Linked DNA regions of Stegostoma tigrinum. The protein of the gene in region 2 purifies or fractionates together with the protein of the main gene of each other region. This does not show direct contact. Links are inferred from orthologs where the notes say so. Each region holds a gene or a part of one and is shown on either strand. Other genes may lie near its edges.

Region 1 (7,225 bases), on a different chromosome or scaffold from region 2:
CAGTCAAAGGACACATCCTGTCTAAATTCATGTATCATGTCCTTGTTAACTCTTAATGAGAGCCCCTCTCATTCTTCTAAACTCTGGAATAACATTTACCCATTTTCTTCAATGTTTCAATGTAAGACAATCCCATTCTTGAAGGAACTAGTATAGTGAACCTTCATTTCTTTTGTCCATAGCAAGTATATTCCTTATTTGATAAGGAAACAAAATCTATCCACATCATTCCAGCTGCAGTCTCACCAAGTCTCCAACAGCTTTTTTTTTATATTTACTTGCTGGCTGGCCAGCATTTATTGCCCATCCCTAGTTGCCCTTGAGAAAGTCATGTTTAAAACCTGTACCAAATCCTCTTGCAATGAAGGCCGAAGTATAATTTGCCTTTCCAATTGCTTGCTGGCCTGCACCTTAAATCTTTACAATTTCAAAAGGACACTCAGTTCCATTTGGACATCAATATTTCCCAACCTCTCACCAATTAGGAAATACAGTGTTTTGTTTCTACCACAAAGTGAATCACTCTACATTTACAGGTTCATAGAGATGTACAGCACAGAAACAGACCCTTTGGTCCAACTCGTCCGTGCCAACCAGTTATCCTAAATGAATCTAGTCTCACTTGCCAGCATTAGGCCCATATTCCTCAAAACCCTTCCTCTTCATGTACCTATCCAACTGGCAGAGGTATTCACCAACATCTTCAACCTCTCCCTCCTACACGATGAAGTCCCCACCTGTTTCAAGAAGACCACCATCATTTTTATAGCTAAGAAAGCACATGCAGTGTGCCTTAATGACTACTGCCCAGTGGCTCTGAACTCATTAATCATAGGATGCTTCACGAGGTGGGTCATGGCCCACATCAAGTCCAGGCTCCCAACCTGCCTCAATCTCCTACAGTTTGCCTACCAACATAACAGATTCACAACAGATACCATATCCCCAGCCCTGCACTCATCCCTGGAATATGTGGACAACAAAGACATGTACATCAAACTCCTGCACATTGACTACAGCTCTGCCTTCAACACCATTATCGCCTCCCAGACTGATCTCAAAACTGTGTGCCCTTGGTCTCAGCTCCGCCCTCTGCAACTGGACCCTCAGCTTTCTGACCCAAAGACCACAATCAGTGAAGACTAGTAGACAAACAGGAGTTAACAACGTGTGGAGCTGGATGAACACAGCAGGCCAGGCGGCATCAGAGGAGCAGGAAAGCTGACGTTTGGAAGTTAGAAGAACACAGCAAGCCAGGCAGCATCTGGAGGAAAGCAGCAGTCAACATTTCAAGTATTACCGTTCTTTGGGACTGGATGTGGTGGAAGGGAGAGCTGCGGATGAAGTGGGGAGAGAGGTGGAGTCGGAATGGTAGTGGCAGGTGGACATTGGTAGTAGTTACAAACAAAAACCAAAAGAACTGCAGATGCTGTAAATCAGGAACAAAAACCAAGTTGCTGGAAAAGCTCAGCAGATCTGGCAGCATCTGTGAAAGGAAAAACAGAGTTAACATTTCAGATCCGGTGACCCTTCCTCAGAACTGATGGTGGCTGGGAAAACATCAGTTTATATGCAAAAGGAGGAGTATGGGCTAGGGAGTAAACAATAGGATAGAGCCTAAAGAGAAAGACAGTTGGACAGACAAAGTGTTGATTACAATCAGGCTGGGAGGGCGAATAGTTCTTACTGGGGACCATCAGTGACTAACAACACCGAGTGTAATGGCAAGCTTATGTGTTAACAAAGCCTGGTGTGTGGGGTGGGGGGCTAGGACATGGGAGAGTTTAGGCCCTAAAATTACTGAACTTGATATTAATTCCGGAAGGCTGCAGGGTCCCCAAGCAGAAAACGAGGTGTTGCTCCTCCAGCTTGCGTTGCAACACTGCAGCAAGCCAGAAACAGAGATGTTGGCCAGAGAACAGGGTGGTGGATTAAAGTGGCAGGCAACAGGTAGTTCAGGGTCTTTTTTGCAAGCAGTACGTAGATGTTCTGCGAAGCAGTCACCAAGTCTCTGTTTTGTTTCCCCAGTGTAGAGGAGACCACATTGTGTGAGTGAATGCAGTAGACTGAATGCTGGGAAGTGCAGGTGAAGTGTTGCTTCACCTGGAAGGTGTGTTTGGGCCCTTGGATACTGTGGAGGGATGAGGTAAATGCGCAGATATTACACCTTTGTCAGTTACAGGGGAAGGTGGTGGGTCTGTGGAGGGGTATTGGAGGTGAAGGAAGTGTGGACCAGGGAGTCCCGGAGGTAACGGTCCCTGCAGAAGGTGGACAAGGGAGGGGAGGCGAATATGTATCTGGTGGTGGCATCTCGCTGGGGGTGGTGGAAATGGCATCTGATGATGTAGTTGGTATGACCTGGTTGGTTGATGGGAGGGACGAATCTGGTCAGTGGCTGAAAGGGAGGGTCAAAAGGTGGAATGGAAGGGAGGAGGAGGGGCTGGAAGGGTAGCCTGGGGATGGAGTACAGTTATTTGAAATTAGAGAACTCAACGTTGAGTCCTCCAGGCTGTCAGGTGCCCAGGTGGAAGATAAGGTGTTGTTCTTCAAATTTGCGCTCTGAGTCATTGAGACACTGGAGGGGGGCCAAGGACAGACATGTTGGAGGGGGAGGGGGCAGGGAAGTTGAAATGGATGATCACCAGGTGGTTAGCTTGGCCTTTACAGGCCAGGCAAAGATGCTCAGCTAAACAGTCACCTAGTCTACATTTGGTCTCACCAACACAGAGAAGACCACATCGGGAGCACCTGATGCAGTAGACTAGTTTTGAGGAGATGCAGGTGAAGCTCTGTCTCACCTGGAAGGCCTGGATGCAGATGAGGGAGTGGGGCAGGGGGCGTGTGTGCAGGTGTTGCAACTTTTACAGATACAGGGGAAAGTACCGGGCAGGTTGGAGTTGTTGCTGGGGACTGCGGTGCGACTAAGGAGTGGCAACGGGAATGGGTCCTCTCGATGTCAGCAAAACCAAAGAACTGATCATCGACTTCATAAAGAAAGGAGGAGAACATGTCTCCATTTACATCAACGGAACTTAGGTTGAGAGGGTGGAGAGCATCAAGTTCCCCGGACTGACGATAACTGACAACCTGTCCTTGACTTTCTACATAGATGCGATGGTCAAGACACAGCAACACCTCATCTTCCTCAGATGGCTGAAGAAATTTGGCATTTCCATAAGGTCCCTCATCAACTTCTACAGACGCACCATTGAAAACACACTGTCCAGGTGCACAATGGCCTGGTATGGCAACAGCCCAGATCATCACAGAAGCCAACCTTCCATCCATGGACTCTATGTACATGGCCCGCTACCGCAGAAAGGCTGCCAACATCTAAAACTCTTGTGTTAGGCAGAAGATACAGAAACCTGAATAAATGCACCAGTGGGTTCAGGAACAGCTTCTTCACAACTGTTATTAGACTGATGAATGGACCCTTCAGCCTCAAATAATGCTGATCTTGCTAATATTGATCTTGCCTTGCACATGCCCTGTGCAACATAACCTGTATGCCTCTATCTAAGACTTTTTACAACCTCTGATCAGCACAACCTAGCTTACTATGATCTACCTGTACTACTCATAAACAAAGCATTTCACTGTACTCTGGTATGTGACAATAAATCAGTCAATCAGTCAATCCAGATGTCTGCTCATCGTGTCCTTGCCCATTTATTTAGTCAATTCAGGTTCACCTGAGCCTTTGTGCAACTTTGTCACAACTTAACTAGTTTTGTGTCAACAATAGGTTTTGAAATATTACATTTGTTTCCCCAAGACCAAGTTATTTATATATTTCATGAACAGCTGTGGCCACAACACTAACCCTTGAGGTACCCCATTGGTAAGAGGCTGTAGCCATCCTGAAAATGACCTGCAGATTCCTACTCAAGTTTTCTGTCTGTTAACCAATTCTCAACACTTACCTGTGCGCCCAATCCCACATACTCTGATTTTGTTCGATAAACCTACAGGGAGGGCGAAATGAAAACCTACTGAAAATTCAGATCAACCTGAAACGTAAACTTTTATATCGTTCCCTCTCCGCACGTGTGGAGCCTTTCTAGCAGTCTGTGTTTCTACTGAATTTCAGAGAAGTCAGCCAAGACTCTTTCGGGTGGGAAAGCATGGGGCTGGGGGTCACGTAACGATGCTGGCAGCCAGTCTCAAAGATGGCCGCGCCCTTGGCGTGCATCACCCGGGTGGGGTCACGTGTGGTGAGTCCGGGGGTTGTCAGGTGACGAGGCGCGGTGGCGGGGAGAGCCCGGAGAAGGCGACGAACTCGGTACCGACGAGACCGATCGAGGGAAGGCGATGTCGGCTTATCCCAATCGCTACAACCCGTTCGCCGAAGAGGATGACGAGGAGCAGGAGGGTCGGCCGGCGGCGGACTGGGAAGACGGGGCGGCTGGGCCCGCCGCCGATGATGACAGGCAGTGGTCCCTGAGGCAGCAGGTGCTGAGGAGCGCCGACAGGGCCGTCCAGAGCAGCGGCCGTAGCGTGGCCCTCATGTACGAGTCCGAGCAAGTGGGCACCGAGGCGGCGAAGGTGAGGGATCGAGCCTGAGGGATATCCGCGGCCTGAGCTCACCGCAAACAACAGATTCTAAATGAGGCCCTTCAGCCCGTCGCGTTGATGCCGGTCGTAGTCCTAGTAGCCCAACGTAAACCATGGAAACAGGAACTTTGGTCCAATTTATCTGTGCCGAACAGAGATCCTAAATTAATCTGGTCCCATTTGGCCCACCTACCTATTTATGTACCCATCCAGTTGCCTTTTAAATGTTGTAATTGTACCGGCTTCCACCACTTCCTCTGGCAGCTCGTTCCATTCGTGCTTCACCTTCTATGTTTCCCACTCATGTCCTTTTTAAATCTTCTCCCTCTCGCCTTTTTAGGTTACCTATGCCCTCTAGTTTTAAACTTTCCTATCCTGGGGCGGGGGAAGGCCTTGACTATTGACCCTATCCATGCCCCTCATTATCTTATAAGCTTCTACAGAGGAAATAGCCCCAGTCTCTTCAGCTTCTTCCTGTAGCTCCAACCCCCACAACCCTGGCAGTTTCCCTGAAATTGTGCAACTTGAAACGGTTCAGATGAAAGGTCCTGACCCAAAACCTCGACTTTCCTGCTCCTCTACTGCCTGACCTACAGATGTCCAGCTCCACGCTATTGACATCATCATCAAGCATGTATCTATTTCTAAGAATAGACAAAAACATAATGTACTGGAGAAATTTGCCATGCCTTCCAGCATCTGTGGAGAGTGGCTTCCCCCTGCCCAAGTCCAATGACTCATCTATTTTATGACTTTTCCTCAAGTTCAATGTAGTCATCCTGCTTCTAGCCTTAAAACTGTATATTTTTGTTGTAGACCCTTTTTACAAAGTTTCTCCCTCTTTGCAGTTTCCACAACCCTTGTAACTTCGTACACCTCAATCATGTTCCCCCACTGCGTGTCCTCTGCCTTTTCCTCTTTAAGGAAAACCCCAGCTTATCTCATCCCTCTTTGTAGTTGAATTACTCCAGCACCAGTGCTATCTTTTAACAACATTCATGAAAGTTGTACACTTCATTTAAAAAGGAGACTTCTTTTGCCAGTTCCTGAAGGTAACAGGGCATGGCTTTCCATAGACAAGTCAGTGAAACACGAGTGTTAGTTCTTGTGCTGGAAGCAGAACTACAGCAAAAGCAAGATGTTAACGTAGGATCAACTGAGCAAGAAATGAAAGTGGAAGTTACGTTCTGGATTTTGCTTGAATTAAACATCAATGTCTCTGGGTTCTAGGAAAAAAAGTGAAAGCTAGAAGATGCTAAACCAATGCTAGACCCCATTAGTTTGATTTTTTTTTGGTAGTACGGGCGAGGGCATTTTAGCTCAAGTTGATGCATGATGTGAACCTGTCCGTCCTGTTCTTCCTGCAATAACCCTTTAGCTCAGTTTGTTTCTTTCAATTCTGCCTACTTTCATTTAAATTGTAGATGTCTCTCTGCTACCATCTTGAAAACTAGTAATCTTACAATCATTACACACACAATATATAAAAGAAGTTTATCCTCCCATTCCTTGCAGGAATAGTAGGTTTCATTCCATACACCACATTTTAGGAAGGCCTGTGAAGGGCTTTGTATACAGCTAAGATTTCAGAGTAGTTCCAAGAATGATGGGTTGCTGGTGCTGCATAAAGAAGGGACGGTAGAAGGGAGATTTGCTGGAGATGTTTAAGATCAAGGAGGAATCAGGAAATGAAGAGAAACTATTTCCAATGAGCAATACTAGAGGAAACTAATTAAAGGTTACTGGCAAATGAGTTGGATGTAATGGGGCAGGAATTTTTGCAGTAGGCAAGAATTTCAAACCGCTTTCCTGATAAGGTGGTGGATATGCATCAGATTCAGAAGACATTTGGGGAAAAATACATGAGGTTAAAAGTTCAGGAATATAGGCCAAGAGTAAGGGGTGGGAGGAACTGGATTGTTTTGCAAGAAGTTGGTTAACAAACTCAAACACTCAATTTATTGTATTGGGTATGCTACAGTAACAATATGAGACATGTTCCCACATTGAGGTGAAGGTGAATAACAGATAAGTGGGACCATGAAAGAGAAAGGAATGGCTGACCTTTACCCATTCCTCTGTCTGACCACCTATTTTCGCTCTTGCTGTCATTCTGGGCTCCATTTCCACTTGTCGTTTACTTCCCCACCTGTTCTTTAGTCCATGTACCAACTTTATTCCAGTTACTGTCAGTTCTGAGGCAGGGTCACTAGGCCCAAAATGATCATTCAGATGCTGTCAGACCCTATTGAGTTTTGCCAGAAATTTGTTTTTGTTTCTGATTTCCAGCATCCGCAGTTCTTTGTTTTTAAGCAATGGAAAGTAGTTGATCGCATGAGATGAGTAGTGTGGAACATAAACGCACAAACTTGTAAATCAACTGTCAAATTACTTCCCTTCTGAGGAAGGGTCACCAGACCCGAAACGTTGACTCTGTTTTCTCCTCCCCAGATGCTGCCAGACCTGCTGAGCTTTTCCAGCAACTTTTTGTGTCAAATTAGTTTGTTGTGTACACCCTGTGTAATACAGTACATGATCCTGGTTTCCATAATTGCAAGATTAACAGAAGAAAGTGACAACAAGAACTGAACAGCTAATAACCATCGAGAAGATCTGAACAGCCAGGGGCTCTTTTGAAAAAGAAAAGACCGTGTAGTGACCTGATCTC
Region 2 (7,758 bases):
AGAACTATTGACGATCATGGAATAAGTAAGGAGCAGGCTAAGTAGGCTGGAAAACAGGTTTGAGGAATGGAAAACCAATATAGAACCTGTAAGTTGGAAAAAGATTCAGCAGGATTTTGGTTCCAGTCAGGCAAATTTGCCTGGAATGAGCTTGCCAATTTTGCAAAGACAGAAATAAGCATCATTTAATTTTACAGGCCGGTTTCCTTGGTTTAAACTTCGACTGGAAAGCCAATGTACTAATTTTAAAAAAAATCAACTTGCATCATTCAGTTGTAATGATAACATGTATATGATGCCTTGAAACATCCAAGATGCATAATGAAACTGAATGAACCATGTCACATAACGGAAATATAAACAGATGGATTAAAAATTTGGTCAAAGTAGTTTTTGAAGCACTATAGGAAAGATATTGTTAAATGTGAAAGGGTTCAGAGAAGATTTACAAGGATGTTGATAGGACGACAAAGATTGAGCTACAGGGAGAGGCTGAAAGGGCTGGGGTTTTTCCCCCCTGGAAGGTCAGAGGCTGAGGGGTGACCTTATAAGGGTTTTTGAAATCATGAGGGCACAGAGGGTGAAAATCTCTCTTTTCAAAAGAAAAATCAAAGAATCTCAACAGTGTGGAAGCAGGTCATCAGCCCATCAAACTCACACCAACCCTTTGAAGAGTGTATCATTCAGAATCAACCCCCTACCCTATCCTTATAGCCATGCATTTTCCATGGCTAATCCACCCAACCTACACATCGTTGGACTGTGGGAGGAAACCTACACAGACATGGAGAATGTGCAAACTCCACACAGTCAGGGGGTGGAATCAAATCCATGTCCCTGGCACCATGAGGCAGCAGTGCTAACCAGTGAGCCACTGTGACACCTGTAGCCAAGGTCATTTTGCTTTGGTAGGACAGTACAAAAGAGGGCATGGGTTTAACAATTCTACAACTATCTTAAAAGATGAAAAGCAAGATAGAAACATGAAGATACGTAGGGACGATATTCGAAAGCTTGGGGCCTCAGCAATTAAGGGTACTGCCATCAACTGCAAATGGGAAATGCTCAAGAGGTTAAGAATAAAGAGTGAAGATCTTTCAGATCTCAGGGCTGGAATTAAGTAGACACAGGACAGGGCAAGGTCTCAGCATAGTTTGAAAGCAAGAAAAGGGAGAATTTTAGAAGATGCATTAATTGTGAGTCAACTGAGTTAGTGCAGTTTGATGGCAAGGACATTTGGTGGGTATTATGATAAGCAGTGCATCTCAAGTTCACACAGGTAAAACTGAGGAGGGTGAATAGAAATTTACAAACGCTAGAACAGTCAGATCTGGAAGTCTCAGAAATAACTGAAGGTGAACTAGAGATAGGCAACATTAGAGATAGAGATAACAAGGTGTGGAGCTGCATGAACACAGCAGGTGAAGCAGCATCTTAGGATCAGGGAAGTGACATTGGGCAACATTAGATCATGTGACTGAAAGCTAACCCCAGAGTCAAATATGACAAAGGTTGTTTATACTCTGGCTGAGGGTTAGTGCTGAAAGAGAGAAAGTGATGGATTTTGCAGCCAGGGAGCAGAGTTTGAGGTGGAGATAAGATTATGGCTTCAGATTTTCAAATTCTTAGGAATTTTCTGTTCATCCAATGCTGGATGTCAAATACCATACAGCAGTCTGAATTCAGGGAGAACAGGCAGAAGGGTCAAGAGAGGTAATAGTTCCAAACGTTGTCAATGGATAGTTTATGAAATCCACCTTAAACATTCTGCTCAATTGAAAATGTTCTCAATTTTCAAGTTTTTTCAATTCCTCACATCAAAAAGCATTCTAGGCAGTCTGGGCTGTATACTCCAATATCCTTCCAGAACATGGAAACTAAAATTGTACAATACGTGCAACTGTTATCTCAGGTTCAGAATCAGAAATCTCTGCAGCACAGCCTGGCTACACATCAGTCTTGAGGTTGTTTATGTAAACCAAAAGTTTACAGCTGGAATTCACATATGCACACAGGAGTTGCTGATTAAGTTGTGTTTCATGCCCAATTAATAGCATTCAGCAGAAGCACTACCCTAATATCATTCATTAGCATGACAGGAGTTGGAAATGAAGCCTAACAATTATAACACGACAAACTGCCATGGCATTACCAATGAGCCTGAGATCACATCAGTGTCAGAGATGTTTTTGGCTAATTGTCGATAGCATGCTTCAAGTTATTGGACAAACAAAACACAGCATAATGTACATCAGCTAAAGGGACTAGATGTGTCACCAACATGGTGCAGGTCAGTGAGTGCGAGTATTTTAGAGTACCACCAACCACCTATCCTTGTTGATGCCATTGTCTCTGGTCCTTCAACTTTAAACTTATTATGCCTATTTTAAACTTTAACCACCTCTACCAAATTCTCCACATTACAGTAATGTGCTGTCGCCCCACAAAGCTCCAAGATATTTAAAAAGTGAATTTATGAGAATCCCCAAATTTAATTTCTTCCATTTTGTGGCTATACCAAGGTCCTAAGCATTCTGTCTTCCAAACTCTCCTTACCTCCACTGTCCTTTAATATTTTTCTTAAAGCCTTCTGTACCAAGCTTTCAGAACTCATCATCAACTGGTGTTCCATAGTAGTCTAATGTAGGGTCTCAAGTTGTATGCTAAGGGAACCACTCCAATCTATACAGCAAACCTCTTCGACCACATCAGCTAGAAGGACACCTAGATCTCACATTCTTGGTTCCTGCCACAAAGCTTCCACCTTTCCTCAAATCAAAAGAAAACCATTTTATAAAATTTGTTTTATTCAAAATAAAAAATCATTTGACAAACCTTTAATCACTACTGTGTTCCAAATACAGACAAGACCATTTTAGTTTTGAAAACTACATTTTTAAGACGTGGTTTAAATTTTGAAAAGGCAGTCTATTAAAACCAAGTTATTAGATAGGCGTGAATTCCTGGATTTGGTCAGCAGGGAGAAGAGGGTGAAGAAAGAGTTCTACTGTGTTGCTGGATTGGTGGCAAGGCATTCATGCCTTGGATTACAATGGCTTCTCTAAATATCTTGAGAAGACAGGCCATAAGCACTTTGCAAGAATATTTCATATTAAATTGAAAGCCAGTAAAAACAAAAACAGTCAGGGCGTAGGAGGAGCAGTTTAAATTATTCTTGCAATTAAAATGTTTGTAGACATCAAGACAATAAGACATCAAGTATTCACTTCTTCCTCAAATAACAGTTTACAGGTGTTTGGGAACAGGCCATGTGCACTACCATTGCCCAGGTTATGGAAATGGGTCCATAGAGTTTAGCAAGGTTCTTTTGTCCTAACATTGCCTCTATAGGCAAAGTGTCTTTATGTGCCTCCTGCATTTTGAAAAATTAAAATTGCCAGATCTACCAAGTTGGTAATGAAACTGGCAGAGTCCTTGCAGAAACAGGAGATTAGGAAATCTGAATGCCAAGCTAGCAAACTAAGCAGAATCTTTTGCGAGCAAGAGTCCAAAGTAGCTTGGTTCCAAATTAGAACAGAACTTCGGGTCCCGTCATGTAGCTACGAAAGTTGAAAGTGCAACCAGAACAGGCGGAAAAGTCGAGTGGGGAATTTTGGTTCGAAGTGCAAGTACTTACTAGTTAGTTAACAGAACTTTCGCTTTTTTTTGTCAAGTTCGAATTTTCTGCCACCTAAAAGATCTAATGCATGGTCTTCTCTATGCTAAACCATTTCAAAAGTTGACTTTTTTAAAAAAAAAATCCAGTTCATCAGAAATTGTAACAATTGATAATCTCTCCCGTTGTTTTCCCCGAACCCGACGTACTTCAACAATGTGACAGAAGATTTGTGCAGACACCCTGATATTGAATCTGAAAGTTGTAAGAGCGTGCACCAATAGGATTTTTTTAAAAAGTGACTTTTTTTCCCTGTACCACCCCACCTAGTGAGGGAACATTCACCAGTCCCTGATCGGATTTCCCCAAATCCAAAAGCAGAAGTGGGGTTGGCCCATATGCAGGGTATTGGGCGATCGCCAAGCGTGCGTGGACTTTTCCCAACGACGCCGATGCCTCCTCCGCGGGGGGGGGGGGGGGAGGGAAAGAGACAGACAGTCAGGACGAAGAGGATGGGCCCCAGCCACACCGTCAGCCATTTTACAGCGAACGGTCGAAGTCGACTCCTTCCCACATCCGAGGACAGGGACTATGACCCGGGCTCAATATCCAGGGACAGCTGATGCACGGAAGGGCAAAGAGATCAGGCCACCAAAGGCCGCATTCCGGGTCACAAACTGGAAATCGAAAGCCCAGTCCCTGGTTCCAAAAACACTGTCCAGACTTTGTCCAAGGTCCGGCAATAAACTGAAAAACCACGGACAGTTCATCCCCCTCCTTTCCCCAAACAGCCCCCGCCCCCGGTAAACGTACCTTCTCGTGGATGACGAGCGCCTCGTTGTTCTCCTCTTTTTTAGGCTCCTTCTGGCTCAGCGAAGAGTTAAAGGACACTTTCACCATGGTGGCAGTACGAGATGGCAGCGCAAACCCAACAAAAACACAACTCTCGGCTCGGCGCACTCCGGACTAAAACCCACCCCGCTTCACTTCCAGCTGGACCTCGGAATCATCCGCATGACGCAGCTCACAAACATAAATATCCGACCGCGTTCAGCAAGAAGATCCCAGGGAACGCTGCCCCGCCCCCATGTGTCGTGTGTGTGTGGGGGAGGAGGGACCTATGAGCCCCGCCCCAGGGAGGAGGGACCACCCAGTGGGCGGCACGCCCCGTCCCGCCCTTAGGGTAAAGGACTCCTGCCCCGTATGCCCAGTGGGCGTTCGAAGGGAACGTTGCCCTCAGGTAGGTGAAGGTAAAGGTAATCAGTGATAATGGGATCTGCAGATGCTGGAGAATCCGAGATAACAAAGTGTGGAGCTGGATGAACACAGCAGGCCAAGCAGCATCCCCGGAGCACAAAAGCTGACGTTTCGGGCCTAGACCCTTCATCAGAAAAGGGGGATGGGGAGAGGATTCTGAAATAAATAGGGAGCGAGGGGGAGGCGGACCGAAGATGGATAGAGGAGAAGATGGGGAGGCGATAGGTCAGTCCCGGGAGGACGGACAGGTCAAGGAAGCGGAATGAGTCGTTTATCTGCAAGTCGCTCGAATTGGGTTTTCGTGGTGCAGTGGTAACTTTAGACTAGGAGACCTAGGTATTTCCAGTCTGGCAGTTAGATGCACCATTCTTCTGCCATTCTGATATTCCTATCACTTAATCTAAACTATCAACAGCCTTTCTCCCCCAGCACTCGAACCCCTCCCCAACTGTTGCAGAAGTGCTGCTCCCCCCCCACACCTGACTTCAGTTCTGATAAGCTCATCTAGACTCTTAAACGTTAGCTTGCTTTCTCTCCATGGACGCTACCTGACTTGTTGTAGTCTCCAGCATTCCCACAAGCCCCAAAGATATCCAATAACATCTCTGAACAGAGATAGTAGGAACTGCAGATGCTGGAGAATCTGAGATAACAAGGTGTAGAGCTGGATGAACACAGCAGGCCAAGCAGCATTGGAGGAGCAGGAAGGCTGGTGTTTCTGGCTTAGACCATTCTTCATAAATCTCGAGACTCAAAACGCAGCCGTCCTGCTCCTCTGATACATCTCTGAATGTGTTGATTAGAGAATAAAATAAGACACTAGAAATACAGCAGGCTATTGAATGAAATGTAGAAAGCTAAGGAGCAATTCGAAAATAAGGAAGGGAGCTATGATGTGGACATCAGAGTTTTTGGGTAAGCACAATGTTATTAGATTAGATTCCCTGCAGTGTGGAAACAGGGCCTTCGACCCAACAAGTCCACACCACCCCTTGGAGCATTTCACCCAGACCCATCCTCATCCCCCTATAACCCACACACCCCTGAATACTATGGGCAATTTAGCATGGCCGATCCACCTAGCCTGCACATTTTAGACTGTGAGAGGAAACCAGAGCACCCGGAGGAAACCCACGGAGAGAATATGCAAACTCTGCACAGACAGTTACCTGAGCCTGGAATCGAACCCAGGTCACTGGTGCTGTGAGGCTGTAGTGCTAACCATTGAGCCACCGTACGTAGAGAGGAAGCTGGGAGATCAGTCAGAGAATGCAACGATCAGATACCGTTGGGCTGCAGGATTCCCAAGCAGAATATGAGTTACAACGACGCCACCCGAAGGTTGCAGGAACAGCAACTCATATTCCGCTTGGGAACCCTGCAGCTCAATTGTATCAATGTGGACTTCACAAGCTTCAAAATCCCTCTTCCCCCACCACATCCCAAAACCAGCCTAGCTCATCCCAGCCTCCCTAACCTGTTCCTTCCTCCCACGTATCCTCTCTTCCCACCTCAAGCCCCACCCCCATCACTTACCGATTAACCTCAACCCGCCACCTTTTTCTGATGAAGGGTCTAGGCCAGAAACGTCAGCCTTCCTGCTCCTCTGATGCTGCTTGGCCTGCTGTGTTCATCCAGCTCTGCACCTTGTTATCTCGGATTCCCCAGCATCTGCAGTACCTATTACCCTTGACCTGTCTGTCCCTCCTGGACTGACCTATCTCCTCCCTACCTCCCCACCTACACTCACCTTTACTGGCTCCATCCCTGCCTCTTTGACCTGTCTGTCTCCTCTCCAACTATTTTCTCCTCTATCTATCTTCTATCTGCACCCCCCCCCCACCGTCTCCCTATTTATTTCAGAACATCCTTTCCTTCCCCCATTTCTGAAAAAGGATCTAGGCCTGAAACATCAGCCTTCCTGCTCCTCTGATGCTGCTTGGCCTGCTGTGTTCATCCAGCTCTACACCTAGTGCTGTGAGGCAGCAGTACTAACCACTGAGTCACCGTTCTTTGGACCTCACTGACAACTTGTATTGCAATGCTCCTGACAGGCCATTAGAGACAGACCCATCTCTTGCATGGGAGCAAGCTGCATCTCGAGGCTTTTTGCTCGTTCCCCTTAGCATTTTGGGACTGTCTGGATCCTCACAGCACGTCTGTCCTGCGTTGCCTTCCTGCATATTGCCGTATCATTCAGAAAGGGTAACCCTTTAATATTTCTGTCTTGCCTGTCTTTCATCAGGGACACAAAGCTAGGCAGCTTGTCATGGTTCAACAGTTACCTTTGACTTGAATGAGGACTACTGTCTTTAAACTTTGAAACATGGCATTCAGTTAAGGCACACTTAGTGCTTTAATCACACAAGCTGCCTACAGGCTGTAAGTATGACATTGATATAGCATGATGCAAGACAGTTTTATGTCCACCCCCTTGACTGATCACTTCTGACAACCATGACAAGCTGCCTAGCTTTGTGTCCCTGATGAAAGACAGGCAAGACAGAAATATTAAAGGGTTACCCTTTCTGAATGATATGGCAATATGCAGGAAGGCAACGCAGGACAGACGTGCTGTGAGGATCCAGACAGTCCCAAAATGCTAAGGGGAACGAGCAAAAAGCCTCGAGATGCAGCTTGCTCCCATGCAAGAGATGGGTCTGTCTCCAATGGCCTGTCAGGAGCATTGCAATACAAGTTGTCAGTGAGGTCCAAAGAACGGTGACTCAGTGGTTAGCACTGCTGCCTCACAGCACCAGGGACCCGGGTTTGATTCCACCCTTGGGCAACTGTCTGTGTGGAGTTTGCGTATTCTCCCTTTGTCTGAATGGGTTTCCCAGGGTGTTCTGGTTTCCTCCCACAGTTCAATGACGTGCAGGCTAGGT
Region 3 (7,636 bases), on a different chromosome or scaffold from region 2:
CAAGCAGCATCTTAGGAGCAGGAAAGCTGACATTTTGTGTCTAGACCCTTCATCAGAAATGGGGGAAGGGGAGAGGGTTCTGAAATAAATAGGGAGAGAGGGGAAGGCGGATCGAAGATGGATAGAGGAAAAGATAGATGGAGAGGAGACAGACAAGTTAAAGAGGCAGGGATGGAGCCAGTAAAGCTGAGCGTAGGTGGAGAGGAAGGGAGGAGACAGGTCAGTCTAGGGAGTACTGACTGGTCAAGTGGGCAGGAAATGGGGGTGCGGCTTGAGCTAGGAGGGGGGATAGGTGAGAGGCAACAGATTAGGGAGGGGGGGATGCAGGGGGGGGGGGGGGGGGGGGAAAGAGAGAGATTTTGAAGCTGGCGAAATCCACATTGATACCATTGGGCTGCAGGGTGCCCAAGTGGAATATGAGTTGCTGTTCCTGCAACCTTCGGGTGGCATCGTTGTGGCACTGCAGGAGGCTCAGGATGGACATGTCATCTGAGGAATGGGAGGGGGAGATGAAATGGTTCGCAACTGGGAGGTGCAGTTGTTTAACGCGAATCAAACGTAGGTGTGCTGCAAAGCAGTCCTCAAGCCTCTGCTTGGTTTCCCCCGATATACAGGAGGCCACAACAGGTACAGCAGGTGCAGAGTCTCAAACTGCTGCCAGGAAGAGGAAGAGTAAGATGTATACTACATTGGCAGATGTGCAGGTGAACATCTGCTTGATGTGGAAAATCTTCTTGGGGCCTCTGATGGGGGTGAGGGAGGTGGTGTGGAGGCAAGAGTAGCACTTCCTGCTGTTGCAGGGAAAAGTGCCAGGTGTGGTGGGGCTGGAGGGGAGTGTGGAGCAGACAAGGGAGTCACGGAGGCAATGGTCCCTCCGGAAAGCAGACAAGGGTGGGGAGGGGAAAATGTCTTTGGTGGTGCGGTTGGATTGCAGATGGCGTAAGTGTTGGAGGATGACGCGTTGGATCCAGAGGTTGGTGGGATGGTACGTGAGGATGAGGGGGGATTCTTTTTTGGTTGTTATTGCGCGGACGGGGTGTGAGGGATGAATTGCAGGATTTCCAGCTCATTGCATCCCCGCCTCCCTAACCTGTTCTTCCTCTCACCTATTCCCTCCTCCCACCTCAAGCCACACCCCCCTTTCCTACTTACTAACCTCATCCTGCCCCCTTGACCTATCCGTCCTCCCTGGACTGACCTATCTCCTCACCTACACTCAGCTTTACTGGCTCCATCCCTGCCTGTTTAACTTGTCTGTCTCCTCTCCATCTTCAATCCGCCTCCCCCTCCCTCCCTATTTATTTCAGAACCCTCCTCCATTTCTGATGAAGGGTCTAGACACAAAATGTCAGCTTTCCTGCTCCTAAATTGCTGCTTCGCCTGTGTTTATCCAGCTCTACACCTTGTTATCTCTGAAAGTAATGCCTTTGGTCTTTTCAATATTTAACATTTCTGCTAATTCAATATTGGATGTCAGATTAGCATCAATGAAATCAAGACTGGAGTTGTCAGTGTACATCTCCGTCCCCTGCTTTGGGGAAGTGTTGGGTGAATTTAAATACAGGTTTTTCAACAACCTTCCCTCAAACTACATTACAGAAACATTTTATTGTTTGCAGAGCCTTGTATTGCTTCTCTATTTCAAGTCTCTAGTCTAGAGGTTATGAAATAAAGTTGAGGTTGTGGAAAGTCTTAAATGACGAGTTCTTTCTTTCAACCACGGCCTGTTAACACCTCCCATATGCAGCGTGAACGCAGTAAGTATGATTTAATATAAACAGGCTTTCAGTAAGCCATGAAGGTAAACTTCTCAAAAGTCCAACTTACACTTGAAATCAAACGACGTTTGGCTGATCCACGTCTTCACACATTTGTTGAGAACGGAGATTTGTCATTAACACTGCGTACGTTTTAATATCTACCAGTAATTCGACTTCAGGCATTCATCTAGACCCGCCATCAATCCTATCTGCTGACGATACGAAAATAGCAGGAAACGCAGAACTGGTGACAACACATTAGAGGGAGGGAATCTCAAAGAAAAGGAGACTTTTCCCGGTGCTCAGAGAGGGCGCTATTTGTGGCTGTAAAATGAGACAGCAAGAGCTCAGCACTGCGGTATCGATTGATGGGAGTAGGCGACCGGCCTTTGTACAATGGCACCCATGTATTGTACATAAATTTAAAAAAAGGCGAGTACAAGGGGGCAGGTATTCCCCAACCTGGGGAAAGAACTTGCCAAAGTACTGGGAGAAAACTGAATTAAGTATTTTAAAAGTGGCCAACTCGCGGACGTCGATCGGACAATTCCTGTTCAGTGTAGAGAATCCAGTTTGAATTTACACTAGTCATGCTGAACTATGAGGCAACCACAACAGGCGCCGCATGGGGGGGGAAAAAACTAGGCGTCTGTAATTTCGCTCCTCCTGCTGTCCTTGCGATCAGCAGCATATTTAACTCTGGGAGGGTCGGTTGCTACCCACCGACTGGAAAAGGCGCAAACATGTAGTTTCTGCAACAGGGGGATGGGGAAAGGCTGTGTGTTAGATAACCCAAACACGTGATGTGCCCGCCAAAAAATACAGACCCCTTTCCCCATACATTCACCGAGCAAGGTTTGAGAGATGAAGTTGTTGAGCAGTAATGTTTAATACCTTGGTCACCAACGTTCCCAGTTTGGAATGCTGCTCATATAAAGGTAGCGTTTCCTCAAACTCAGTCACACCTAACTTCCACCTAGTTTTTTTTAGAAAGCGAGAAGGACGGACAACTCCGCTCAGTGCAAGATATACAAAAAAGTCTTCAATCATTTTGGAGAGCGTGTTGACAGATTTCGACCCCATGCCCACCAAGAAAAATGATCCAAGAAAACCTCCTTTCATCCAACACAAAACATGGAGGAACAAATTCACCGACTTGCCCATGTTCCTCTCACCAGAGGATTTATTAAATAATTTATGAATAATTTATTTATTAAATCATTTGTGAATTAAGTAATTTATTGAGTACACGTGGAGTGCATTCAGCCTGACTGTACCCCCCTCCCCGGAAATCACGGTGCACATTTAAAAAGGACAGACCCCTTTGAAAGGAATGGGCACGTTTTCCCTGACCGCCAGAGGGGGGAGAGTTAGAGAGAGAGAGAAGGTACGGCCCTGAACAAATGAGACCACGACTCAAATTCAGGAACAAGCGTGAGAGCAGCCAATCCAGCACCCCCAAATTCCGTCAGAAACTGCGGCTGGCCACCTGTTACTAGGTTGGCCAGACTTCTAACTGAAAACACACGCACTCAAACCATCCCCCAACACATACACACACAAAGTGCAGCTTGGCAGAAAATGGCAGCAGCGGGGCAGCAAAGAGGGCGAAGAGTGAGATGGGGCCACGCCCAGCGCCCGCCGTTCGAAATAAATCAGGCAGGAATCGGGGGGCGGGGAGAGATCCCGCATCCCGTTCAACCTAAGGGTTCCCACACACACATCCACCTACTCACCAACACACCTACACCCCACAACCAGTCAATAAATACAGATATTGCAACACCCTCACCACTCTCCACACCTTCACACACCCCAGCCCCTCATACATCCCCAACAGACCCACCCCATATACACACATTAACCTGGCCTCTTAAATCCTGCCCCCACTCCAATACAGGCTTTTGAATAAGGAATTGATAAAATAATCGTTTAATTTTGAAGGAGGGAACAATCCAGGATTCCCTGCCTTAACACTGATTCCTTTCCCTGGTTTTTTTTGGGGGGGGGGGGGGGTGGAGAGAGAGAGAGAGAGAGAGATTGATTGAGATTTGTGGCGTATCTCCTTAAACACGGTGCTTCCCCAACCCCCCCTGGCCGCCAACACACCCACACAACCCAAGGCCAGAGAGAACATAGAACATAGAGAGCGCGTTTAAGTGTCCCCGGTCTGAGTTGGTGCGTTTCTCCCCCCACCATTTTGCTGTTAGCTGATATTATTGTTTTAATGATATATGTATTTTACCTTGGAATGGTCCGGAGGTCTCCCGATCCCGTGCACAGATCCTGCTGCCGAGAGAACCACACCTCCAACAGCTTCTCGGTCCCTTCGAAAAAGTGTGCACCGTTTTCCATCGTGAAACAAACGAGAGGGGAAAGAAAAATTCGCCCCCTCCTCCTCCCTCTTTTCCCTTCTACAAATTCTATTTTCTCTTTTAAAAAACCTCCCCCCCCTTTTTCCCCCTCTCTCTGGTAAAAAGCTTAATAAGTTAGTGTCAATTGCTCTGTTTTAGTGGGTTCTTGAGCGGTCCGGTTTCTGCTTTGCTTCCCTATTTTTTCAAGAAAAAGATTTTTTTGTTTGTTTTTTTTATACATATATATATATAATGTTTCGTAGTTGCCCCCAATGCGATCCCTCTACACAGAGAATTGCATCCAGCGAGCGCTAGCTAATGTCGCCGGCCATACTGTGACTAGCAGCGAGACGTCCGCCGGCGCCGGCTTTTATAACCTCCGCCTCCCTCCTTTGCTCACCACCCCCATCCGCTCCAACCCAATCACTTGACTTCTCCAAACTGTCTGCTGCACCGCCCTCTCTACCGACGGCACAATAGAACTGCTGTGACGTCAACGGCCTGGCTGGAGCTGCCCCTGCCCGTTCCCTCCACTACCGTCACCATCACCAGTCGAACGTTCGGCGCGAGACCTTGCGCCCGGGCAAAACCGTTAGTGGAGCCGCGCGCAGATCGACGTTCCAATTCAACTATAAAAGTTGCACGTTTGGAAGGGGCGGGGGGAAGGAAACGAGAAGACATTGCAAATAAATTGCCCCAAACCTCTTTAACGCTCGATAAAAGCCATCGCACGATTTCATCTCACCCTCGTTTTTTCGGGCCGATTCCTAACGCGATTGGTTCGTTTCGCAGTCAGTCACGTTTATCGCAGTGCCGTATCGCAAGAAGGCGGGAATGTAACAGATACATTTTAGTTTTTCCGAACAAAAAGGGATGTTGAAGGTTTATTCCGATGTGTATTTGAATATCTTATCGCTGTTTATTGATTTCAGTGTCCCGGTGCTTCTTCACCCTTTCCCACCCCCACACCCGTCTGCTGCTCTGCTCGGACTAACTGTTTTTACTTTTGGATCCGAAAACGGTTAAAACCGTCCGCAGCAATGAGCGACGGGAGTTGTAGTCTTTGACCCCGGGATGCAGCCGCGCTAGTCAAGGCCCTGCCGAAGCTCTAAGGACTACAAATGCCGGCATGCCTCGCGGTCCGCCATTGTCTGCCGCTAACGTCAACATAACAAACCCATGGTTAAATGTCGCCGGGCGAACTTGTTGGAAGAGACAAAAAAAATACACACGAAATAAGGAAATGATCGGTGCTCAGTTTAAATAATCCAGCCCGTTTCCCTTCCTCCCCCTTCCAACAGACATTGAAAGTATTTATGCATTTATGGAGTGACAGTCATGGATTACGATTTTAAGACGAAACTAGCAGCAGAGCGAGAGAAAGTAGAAGATCTGTTTGAATATGAAGGTTGCAAAGTGGGTCGTGGTACCTACGGTCATGTTTACAAAGCAAAAAGAAAAGATGGGTAAGAAATCAGTACCTTCAGGCGATTTTGTGAGGTGTTGCTGCAGGCGCCCAGTAAGACTTATCAGAGTATGCCTTTTTAAAAGTTTATTTCTGGGTTACTCAGTTCACGTGCTGCAAGACCAATGTTGATGTTTCTGGTTTGTAAATATATCCTCACACCTTGTGTTTACAACTCCTTATTGTAACCCGTTTAATCAAGCCGAGGCCTCCAGCCCTCATAACCATTGTTTTGGAAACTATGTATTTATTGATAGGTTTATTGGTATGATATAAAACAGACTACTTCTTCGGTTTTCTTTTATTCTAGACTTTGTATAGTAATTTTTTCTCGGCTGAACGCCAGCTGTTAAAGCAGTGCTGCCCATAATATAAGACTAAATCACATTTCGGAACTGTCAAATTAAAATGTAGCTTGTCTTCCATGTTTCACAACACTCAGATACTTAGAAGTCCTAAATCTTGACCGTGTTTTTGAATATTAGGTACTGTATTTTGTAACTGTAGTCATAAGTAAGTAATGAACAACGTATTTACTTTTATTCTTTGACCGAACTGTGCGGTTTACTTCCGTGCATAAAATTAGATATGATAACAGCAATTTGCATTGATGTGTCAGTTAATGTCGACTTGGGTTCCAAGGCAGAGTGAAAGTAGAAATGGGGCTGACCATTCGTGAGGAAGTTAGATGAGTTGACATCTGAATTCTGAGGAAGGGTCACCGGACCCGAAACGTTTAAGGGTGCTGCTTGACCTGCTGTGTTCATCCAGCTCTGCACTTTGTTGTCCCGAAACGTTAACTCTGTTTTTCCCTTCACAGTTGCTGCCAGACCTGCTGAGCTTTTTCCAGCAACTTTGTTTTTGAGTTGACTTAGAGTATTGTTCGAAATCTGGGGTTCCTCAAATAATCTGCCGTTAGATCCTTTTAGAGAAAGAGTATAAATCCTTTGTTATGAACTGCATCCCTCTCCATGGCAACAGTTTGATATTAAATCAATCTCTTTGCAATTCTAGTGTTATGTCAGATCCAGTAGTGAGCTGATATCATATTTGTGCCACCTCAAAGACAGCTTGATCCATTTCTAATATCTTTTGACTTAACCCCCTTCTCAGCTGTAATCCTCTTCTATGCTTTCATTACCTATAGACTTGATGATTCCGATGCACTCCTAATATCCCACACTTTGCTCTTCATAAACTTGTGCTCAGGGAGATTTTGTGGTGCAATTGTTAGCCTTCTTGCCTGTAATTCGCAGGCTTTGTGTTCAAGTCAGATGGTAGGACTTGATGGATTTGAAAGATGGGTTCATAACATGGCAAAATGGTTGACTATCAACCTGTAAATCCTTCTGACGCCTTTAGCAGGCAAAAAGTGTAAAAAAGATTCCTGATCAGCCAGAATTGTGTGATATCTGCAACACAACAGCGTCTCCACACTAAAAGACAAGCTCTTGTTTCACTGTGCTAACTGACAAATGACAGGCAATGAGATAAACCTGTGATCATCTAAAGTACTGATTCACATGTCTTCACTGCAGCAGCACTACCCAGAGCAATTCAATTGTTGGTGACTGTAAGCACTAGGGATCCAGGAAGATTAGACAAAGGGAAGAGGTGAGAGTGGGATTCATGATAGCTAGGTTAGTGGGAGCTGAGGCTGTGGGTGTTCATTTTGGAGAGGGTGTCAGTGATATGTCAGCCCCTCCAAAGTCCTGATTAGGGTAAGCTGTGGGTCCCCAACTTGCCATTAGTCCCTGAACTCTTCTTATTAGCCAAAAAATTGCTGTTGAGTGGGTACAGGCCCTGAGTGACCAATAATTAGTCATTGAAGGCCTGCAATGAGTTGATGGTGGGGGAACTGCCCCAGGCTAGGGCTGACACCTATGTAGTTGTGTACAGGACAGGGGAAGTGGCGTGAAGCCAGCTGTGGAATTTGTGGGCCCCACGCTGTGTAGCAATTCTACGACCCCACCCAACACCCCTCCCTATTGTCAGCATGAATTATTGAAAAATTAGAGCCTGTTTTGCTCCACCGATGCTGTGTATCCAGTTTTTCT
Region 4 (6,841 bases), on a different chromosome or scaffold from region 2:
GGCATCTGGGTGTCCTGGTACACAAGTCACAAAATGCCAGTATTCAAATACAGCAAATTTTGAAGAAGGCAAACGAAATGTTGTTCTTTATTGCAAGGGAATATAGAAGTAGGGAAGCTATACCGCAAGCTGTATGGGGCCTTGGTCAGATCTAAAGCATTCTGTACAGTTTAAACTCCTCATTTGAGAAAATTATTGCTAGATCATTAGATCCGAAGCAATTCAGAAAAGGTTCAACTGACTAATTCCTGGGATGAAAGTTTAACTTATGGAGAAAAGTCAAACACATTGGCCCTACCCCTGAAACTTGAAAAGATGAGTGGTGATCTATTTGAAGCTATAAAGGTCCTGAGGGGTCTTGATAAGGTGGATAAAGGAGGATGTTTCTAATTGCCGAACAGACTCCCTTCAGGAGACACAGCTTAAAAACAGGAAGCCTGCGTTTTAAGATGGATAGGAAGAAAAAAGTTTTTTATCAGACAATCGATAGTTTGTAATGTGCCCTTCCTTAGAAAACAGTGGACGTTGGGTCATCAAACTTAATCAAGACTGATTAATTTTTGATAGTCAAGGTTGTCACTCAGATCACCCATGATTTTTTTGAATGGTGGATCAGATTCAAGTAGCATTACAACTGTGGCCACATTTGAAACATGTATCACTGGCCGCAATGTCCTGGTGTGAACGTGAAAGTTGTGAACAGAATGATTAAAATCATTTGATTTTACTTGAGCAGTGAGAAGCAAACATTTTCCTCCCAGTTCCTTCTCATTCACCCAAATGATTTGAATCCTAGTAGGCACTGATGCTCAGTCCATCCTATACAGCTCATAAATTAAATGAAATCCAAGCTCTGTCATTAGATACAGAACCAACTCAAGATGTCAGAAATCTCAAAACATTTTGTTTGACAGACAAGCAAAATCTATTAATTAAAAATACTTTGAGACTGTGGGACTTAGTGGTCATGTAGTGTTACCTGGCAGAACATAGATCCAAACACTATGGATTAGTTTAAACAGGAATGGGAGGACCATCAGCATCTTAATTCAATTATGACTAATCTGGATCTCATTCCATCTACCCACCTTTAACCCATTTTTCTCAATATTCTTACCCAACAAAAATCAAATTGACAGAAAGAAAAAGAAAGGTTATATTTTAAATTAATGATCTTTCATCACAGCATATGCTGCCAGACCACTGTGTACTTGAATTGGTTTCTGTTTCTATTTCAGATGTTCGGCACCTGCAGCATTTTACTCCTGAAAATATAATCTACGTCAGTCTTGAAATTTACAACTGACCTCCAAGCATGACATCTTTTTGGAGAAAAAGTTCCAGCTTTTGTGTGAAATGCTTCCAGACATCATGCCTGAACAATTTAGCTCTAATCTTAGGGTTACGCCCCCTTGTTCTGAACTTCCCCAGAGGAAACAGTTTATCTCATTCTGCTCATATTGAGGCATGCTGAGGGTGTGAAAGGCTTATATAATTTAGATTAGTATATTTGCAGTTCTTTGATCACCTTAAGTATATCTATATTACCTCACTCTCATAATTATAATCATAAAACACTACAAACTTAATCTTTCATATTCAATGGAACACAAGCCAAAGTTGTAAACTCCAGGACCAGAAGATACAATACTTTAGACATCTCCCTCTCCATCCTCTACCCTGTACGTAAGGGACAGTGTTCACGAAGAGCAGCTAGAGAACCAAGAGATAATCAGTACAATGTTATAAGCCCCAGGAGAGAAGAGAGCCCTAAGAAAGTAGTGTCCCTTTTGGTGTTTGGGAGCTTTATAGAGTCTGTGGGTGAAGGGTAATAGGGGATTCACTTTGTTGCCAGATGTTTGTGCGTGCGTTTTGGGGTGGGAGTTTGCTGATATGGCATACAGTTCCTGATCTTCAGGTGGCTCAAGTGCAGTTCTCAGGGTGACGGATATGGACAGGATTAGGAGTACAGAACCTCAAGTTTAGCAATAGTGAGCTATGTCTGGACATGTGGGGTACAGGCACCTCGTATCGGCTGTACTTGGGTTAAGGGGATGGTGTTAAGGAGTGTGGGAGGGCAGTCAGATCTCCTTCAGCATGTTAACACCACAGAGCCTCTGGCACCCCATCTATGAGAATGTGGGATCTAGACATCCTGAATGGGGTAAGGAGAGTTGGGGAGCAAGACAGCCCAGAGCTGGAAAAGGACAGCGAATGATGCTGGAAGATCCCACTCTTGAGTGGGAATGGGGAGTGGAGTGGGAGAGGCCAGATCCCCACAGATGAGGGAGTAAAATAGATCCCCAGATCCCCTGGGGCGGTGCGGACAGAAAGGGACAAGACCTGTTGGGATCTGGGTGGCATTGGGGTAGAGGTATACACCGATGACACAGGTAGACGTCGGGATTGTTTTTGGGCGGGGGAGGGAGGTCAGCACCGCCAGGTTTACTCACCCTGTCGATAGATCCAGGCACCAGGCGCTCCAGGAGGCGACACAAGACCACCCCGTCCCTCAGGGAGCTCTGTAGGAAAGCCTCGGGGTCCGACACTGTTTTCTTGGGGGAATCCAGGACCCCGAGTGTAATCAGCCAAGTGACCGTCTGCTCAGCGGAGCTCATCGCTACCGATCCCCATTCACCGGGAGTGCAGGGATCCGAGCCTTGGGCCCCGGGACAACAGTCCCCTTTTCCTTCCCGGGCCCCGGGACAATCCCCGCCGCCGCCTTTTCCCAGTCCCCGCGGTTCACTGCTTCCCGAGGTCCCAGCTCCGAAGCGGCGAGCCCGGCATCACTCGGTACTGATAGAGCCGGTGTGTCTCGGAAGGGACGGCTATCGCCTGGGATCTCTCTGATCCCGTAACCTCCCTCCTTGCCCCCGGGGCGGCTCTCTTTGTTTCTCCGGGACGATCGCGGCTCCGAACCTGCCGCCCACTGCCGCCGCTCAGACTGAGCCCGAAGCCGGGTCCTGCCGCCCTCTAGTGCCGCCCGAGACCCAGCAATAGAGGAGGGCCCGGAGACCCCGACACCCGACAATTACACCCCCCCCAACTCGACAAATACCCCCCCAACCCGTCAATTACCCCCCCCCACTCGACAAATACCCCCAACCCGACAATTACCCTCCACCCCGACACCCAACAATTACCCCAACCCTCGACAATTTCTCTCCAACCCAACACCAAACAATTACCCCCACCCCGCCACCCGACAATTACTTCCTACCCCAATAACTTGCCTCCCCAAATCGACAACTACCGTCCCCACCCTGACAGTTACCCCCAACCCAATCCAACATCCATCCCCGACCAGATAACTAGTCCCTTCCTCACCCCAACAATTAACCCACCCAGACATCTACCCCTGGAAACTTACCCCGGGGTAGTTAACGGTAGTTAACATCAACTACCTCACTCGAAATAACTTCCAGTATCTCACTCCATACCCCCAAAACCCCGGCATCTCACACCCCCTCCACATCTCCCACACTCGCAACATCTAACTCCCCCACCCACATCTCATCTCACACTGTCCCCTCTGTATGGACGTTCAACCCAACCATCCCCCCCCCCCCCGCATACTTCCTTTACCTTCTCAGACCCTCCGTACCACCCATTGTCTACATATTTCCCTTTACCATCGAGGCTGTCAATGCTGGGCTGTTCACTATATGCAAAGCTGAGATAAACAGATTTTTAGTTAGTCAATATAACAAGGATTATGGGGAAAGCCAGGAAAGTGATATTCAAGACTGTCAGATTAGCCATTCAACATCCTGAGTTACTGTTGACCTGAAGCTTAACTGTACAAACCATACAAATGTCAACATGAACAGGCTATAGGCTAAGAATTCCCTGGAGACCAGACTCAATGGGCTCGACCACATAATCCAATGCTTTGTGGACGCCTCTCCACTCTCTCTTTCCTACCCACTAAGACATTTTCCTTGTTAGTCATCTCCCCAAAATAGAAATCCTCATCATCTCTGTCCTCACCGCTCTCAAACTCCTCCTGGTCATCCTCACCCTTAACCCTCCAAACCCCGAAACAATTCTCCCGTCCAAAACCCCAGTCCTCTTTCTCTTCTCTCCCCCAACCCCCCAGAAATGTTTATGAGTTAGACCAGAGACCAGTGCTAGTTCTTTTCCTGATCTAATTAGGAAACATTGTGTGGTGGTGAGTTTAAAGTTAACAATGTAAAGGGTAGAAAGAAAAACTCAATAAACCTGATACTTTTAGCTTGGCACCAAACCTCTAGATTGTTGTAAATACTCAACTGGCTGAATGCCATGGAGTTCCTCCTTGGCCAGTTATGAACAAGGAATGAATGCAAACTTGCCACAAAGGAATAAAGTTCTAGATGACTATGTAGAGTGAGAATCAGGAACTGTGTGAGATGACTTTCGCCTTCCCAATGTCTGGTTGGAGTAGGCTAGAGAACAATTGTATTGCACATGTTATCGTTAAAGGAATTTTATTTTCTAAAAAAAATCTCATGGGATGTGAACATTTCTTGCTAGGACAACATTTCTTGCACCAACTCGAGAAGTTGATGCTGAGCTACCTTCTTGAGCTGCTGAAGCCCATGGTGGTGGGTACACCTACTGTGTTGTCAGCCATTGAGTTCCAGGACTTTGACTCAATGGCACTGAAGAAACAGTGATTTAGTTCCAAGTCAAGTTGGTGTGTGCCTTGGAGTGAATTTCCAGGCAATCTTGCTCTCATGCATCCACTACCGTTATTCCATGTTTTGCAGGTTTAGAAGCTGATGTGAAAGGAGACTTAGTGCATCTTGTAGATGGTACATACTGCTGGTATGGTGCATTTGTGGTGAAAGGAATGATGGGATGCCAAGCAGGCAGCTGCCTTGTCAAACTTCTTGATTGTTTTTGGAGTTGCACTTATCCAGTCAAGTGGAGAGCAGTCCATTAGACTTGTCCCATGTAAGCAGGCTCTTGGAAGTCAGGAGGTGAGTTACTCACCAGGGAATTCTTAGTCTATGACCTCCTCATGTTGGCACTATTTGTATGGCTTGTACAGTTAAGCTTCAGGTCAGTAGTAACTCTGAGGGTGTTGATTTTGCAGGACTCAGCAATGGTAATACCATTGAACATCGAGGATTAATGGTCAGATACTTTCTTGTTAGAGACAGCCATAGTTTGGGACTTGTGTAGTGTAAATGTTTATCAACCCAAGCCTGAAGTGTTGGACATGTCTTTCCACATACTTACGTGGGCTGCTTCAACAAATTGTGAATGTTGCTGAACATTGTGCAATCATCGGCAAACATCCCCACCTCTGACCTTTTGATGGAGGGAAGCAGCTGATGCCTTTTGATTTAATTTTAATGGGGCTTTTTTAAAATTTTCAAGTGTCCCTTTCACAGTGTCATGTACACCTTCATTAGGTGATGCAGTGAGTAGTAACAACAATAATAATTGGTAACAGTATCTTCTATCTTCATGTTGATATGCTGAGGATTTAGATTCGCACACAGGCAGAACTCAAATTTTCATGATTATCCCCGATTAAATTTATCCCCCATTAAATTTAAAATTTTAAGACTCTTAAGGAAAATATTACTTTCTTGGACATCTTGGTATTTAAATTGGCCCTAGACATAAATTGGCAACAAGTATTTTTAAAATATAAAACTGACCCACTTCTATCCAGAAAAAAAAGCCATCAAACGAAACATGCTTTCTGCAGATGGTGGCATGGTGGCTCAGTGGTTGGCAATGCTGCCTCACAGCACTAGGATTATGGGTTCAATGCCAGCCTTGGGTGACTATGTTGAATTTGCATGGGTTTCCTCCCTGGATATGCAGATTATGTGGATTGGTCATGGTAAATACAGCGATGGGCTGGGGCTGGGTGGGATGCTCTTTATGAGGTTGATGTGGACTTGATGTGCCAAATGACCTCCTCCTGCACTCTCGGATTCTATGGTGAGGTCACAAGAAAACCATTATATGTTTGTCTCCAACATGGCCTCAAGTATTTCCCAGTAAGTGAAACACTTTGAGGTATGATAACACATAAATGTCAGTCTTTATGAAATTAAACAGTACAGTATTAAACAATTGACACAATATTTATTTCACTTTCCCCCCCACCCCACCCAATGCAGCAGCCTTAAAGTTTCCACAATATTGCAGGAAATTTATGATTTGATAAATGTCAAGTAACATTTCCATCATACAAGCCCCAGGCTATAGCTTTCTCTAACAAGACAGAATCTGACCATTCATCCTTAACGTTCAATGGTATTACCAACATTGAATCTTCCAAAATCAACAATCCTGAGGATTACCATTGTTCAGAAAATAGTGTTTACATGAGCAGGTCAGACATAAGGAATTCCCCAAACAGTAAATTGTTTTATTCTCATGTTCCCATTTAGGACAGTATATCTTTCTTGAAATGTTTAAAAGTGTTTCTTCCCTTTGCAGCATTTCTCTCCCATTTTGTACTTTTTCCAACCTTTGGAGGGTCTTTCCCCCATCACACATACACACACACACCCACCTCTCTCAAAACTTTACAGCCTCATTTCCTCCAGGCTTTTGGCTTGGCTGCACAGGTCCTGGTATCACACCCACTACTGAGAGGCCTCTCTCACAGTCTTGCTGGCTTTGCTCACTGACATCACTCCCCGCCTGGCCAGCATAGTTTCTATTCTGTCCACTAGCTCTGCCACTGACCTCATTCCTCCAAATGCAGGCTGATACCCTCCCACATTTGCTGTTGATGGACTCACTGTGAACTTAGCAGCAGTAAGCTTGGGAGAGAGCAGCCTGTGATTGAAGGAACAGTTCCCAACTATTTCCTTCCATTCTGTTTACA

Evidence for each region.
Region 1: the proteins of med4 (region 2) and snap29 purify together in Homo sapiens (affinity purification with mass spectrometry; 3 studies listed by BioGRID and IntAct, with this or other methods). This does not show direct contact. The link is inferred for Stegostoma tigrinum from reciprocal best matches to the Homo sapiens genes MED4 and SNAP29.
Region 3: the proteins of med4 (region 2) and cdk19 purify together in Homo sapiens (affinity purification with mass spectrometry; 7 studies listed by BioGRID and IntAct, counting the BioPlex papers as one, with this or other methods). This does not show direct contact. The link is inferred for Stegostoma tigrinum from reciprocal best matches to the Homo sapiens genes MED4 and CDK19.
Region 4: the proteins of med4 (region 2) and rho guanine nucleotide exchange factor 7-like purify together in Homo sapiens (affinity purification with mass spectrometry; 3 studies listed by BioGRID and IntAct, with this or other methods). This does not show direct contact. The link is inferred for Stegostoma tigrinum from reciprocal best matches to the Homo sapiens genes MED4 and ARHGEF7.

Annotation. Positions count from the first base shown.
Region 1 is NC_081379.1:7,573,519-7,580,743, reverse strand, and holds the start of snap29 (synaptosomal-associated protein 29), read left to right. Parts: upstream 1-4,217; 5' UTR 4,218-4,314; coding exon 4,315-4,548; intron 4,549-7,225. UniProt on the Homo sapiens protein: SNAREs, soluble N-ethylmaleimide-sensitive factor-attachment protein receptors, are essential proteins for fusion of cellular membranes.
Region 2 is NC_081365.1:72,826,491-72,834,248, forward strand, and holds the start of med4 (mediator of RNA polymerase II transcription subunit 4), read left to right. Parts: upstream 1-4,750; 5' UTR 4,751-4,856; intron 4,857-7,758. Other genes in the region: integral membrane protein 2B-like, read right to left, coding at 4,430-4,516. UniProt on the Homo sapiens protein: Component of the Mediator complex, a coactivator involved in the regulated transcription of nearly all RNA polymerase II-dependent genes.
Region 3 is NC_081357.1:24,441,888-24,449,523, forward strand, and holds the start of cdk19 (cyclin-dependent kinase 19), read left to right. Parts: upstream 1-4,632; 5' UTR 4,633-5,452; coding exon 5,453-5,580; intron 5,581-7,636. Other genes in the region: amd1 (S-adenosylmethionine decarboxylase proenzyme), read right to left, coding at 4,006-4,115.
Region 4 is NC_081359.1:13,986,412-13,993,252, forward strand, and holds the start of rho guanine nucleotide exchange factor 7-like, read right to left. Parts: upstream 3,015-6,841; 5' UTR 2,619-3,014; coding exon 2,454-2,618; intron 1-2,453. UniProt on the Homo sapiens protein: Acts as a RAC1 guanine nucleotide exchange factor (GEF) and can induce membrane ruffling. Functions in cell migration, attachment and cell spreading. Promotes targeting of RAC1 to focal adhesions. May function as a positive regulator of apoptosis.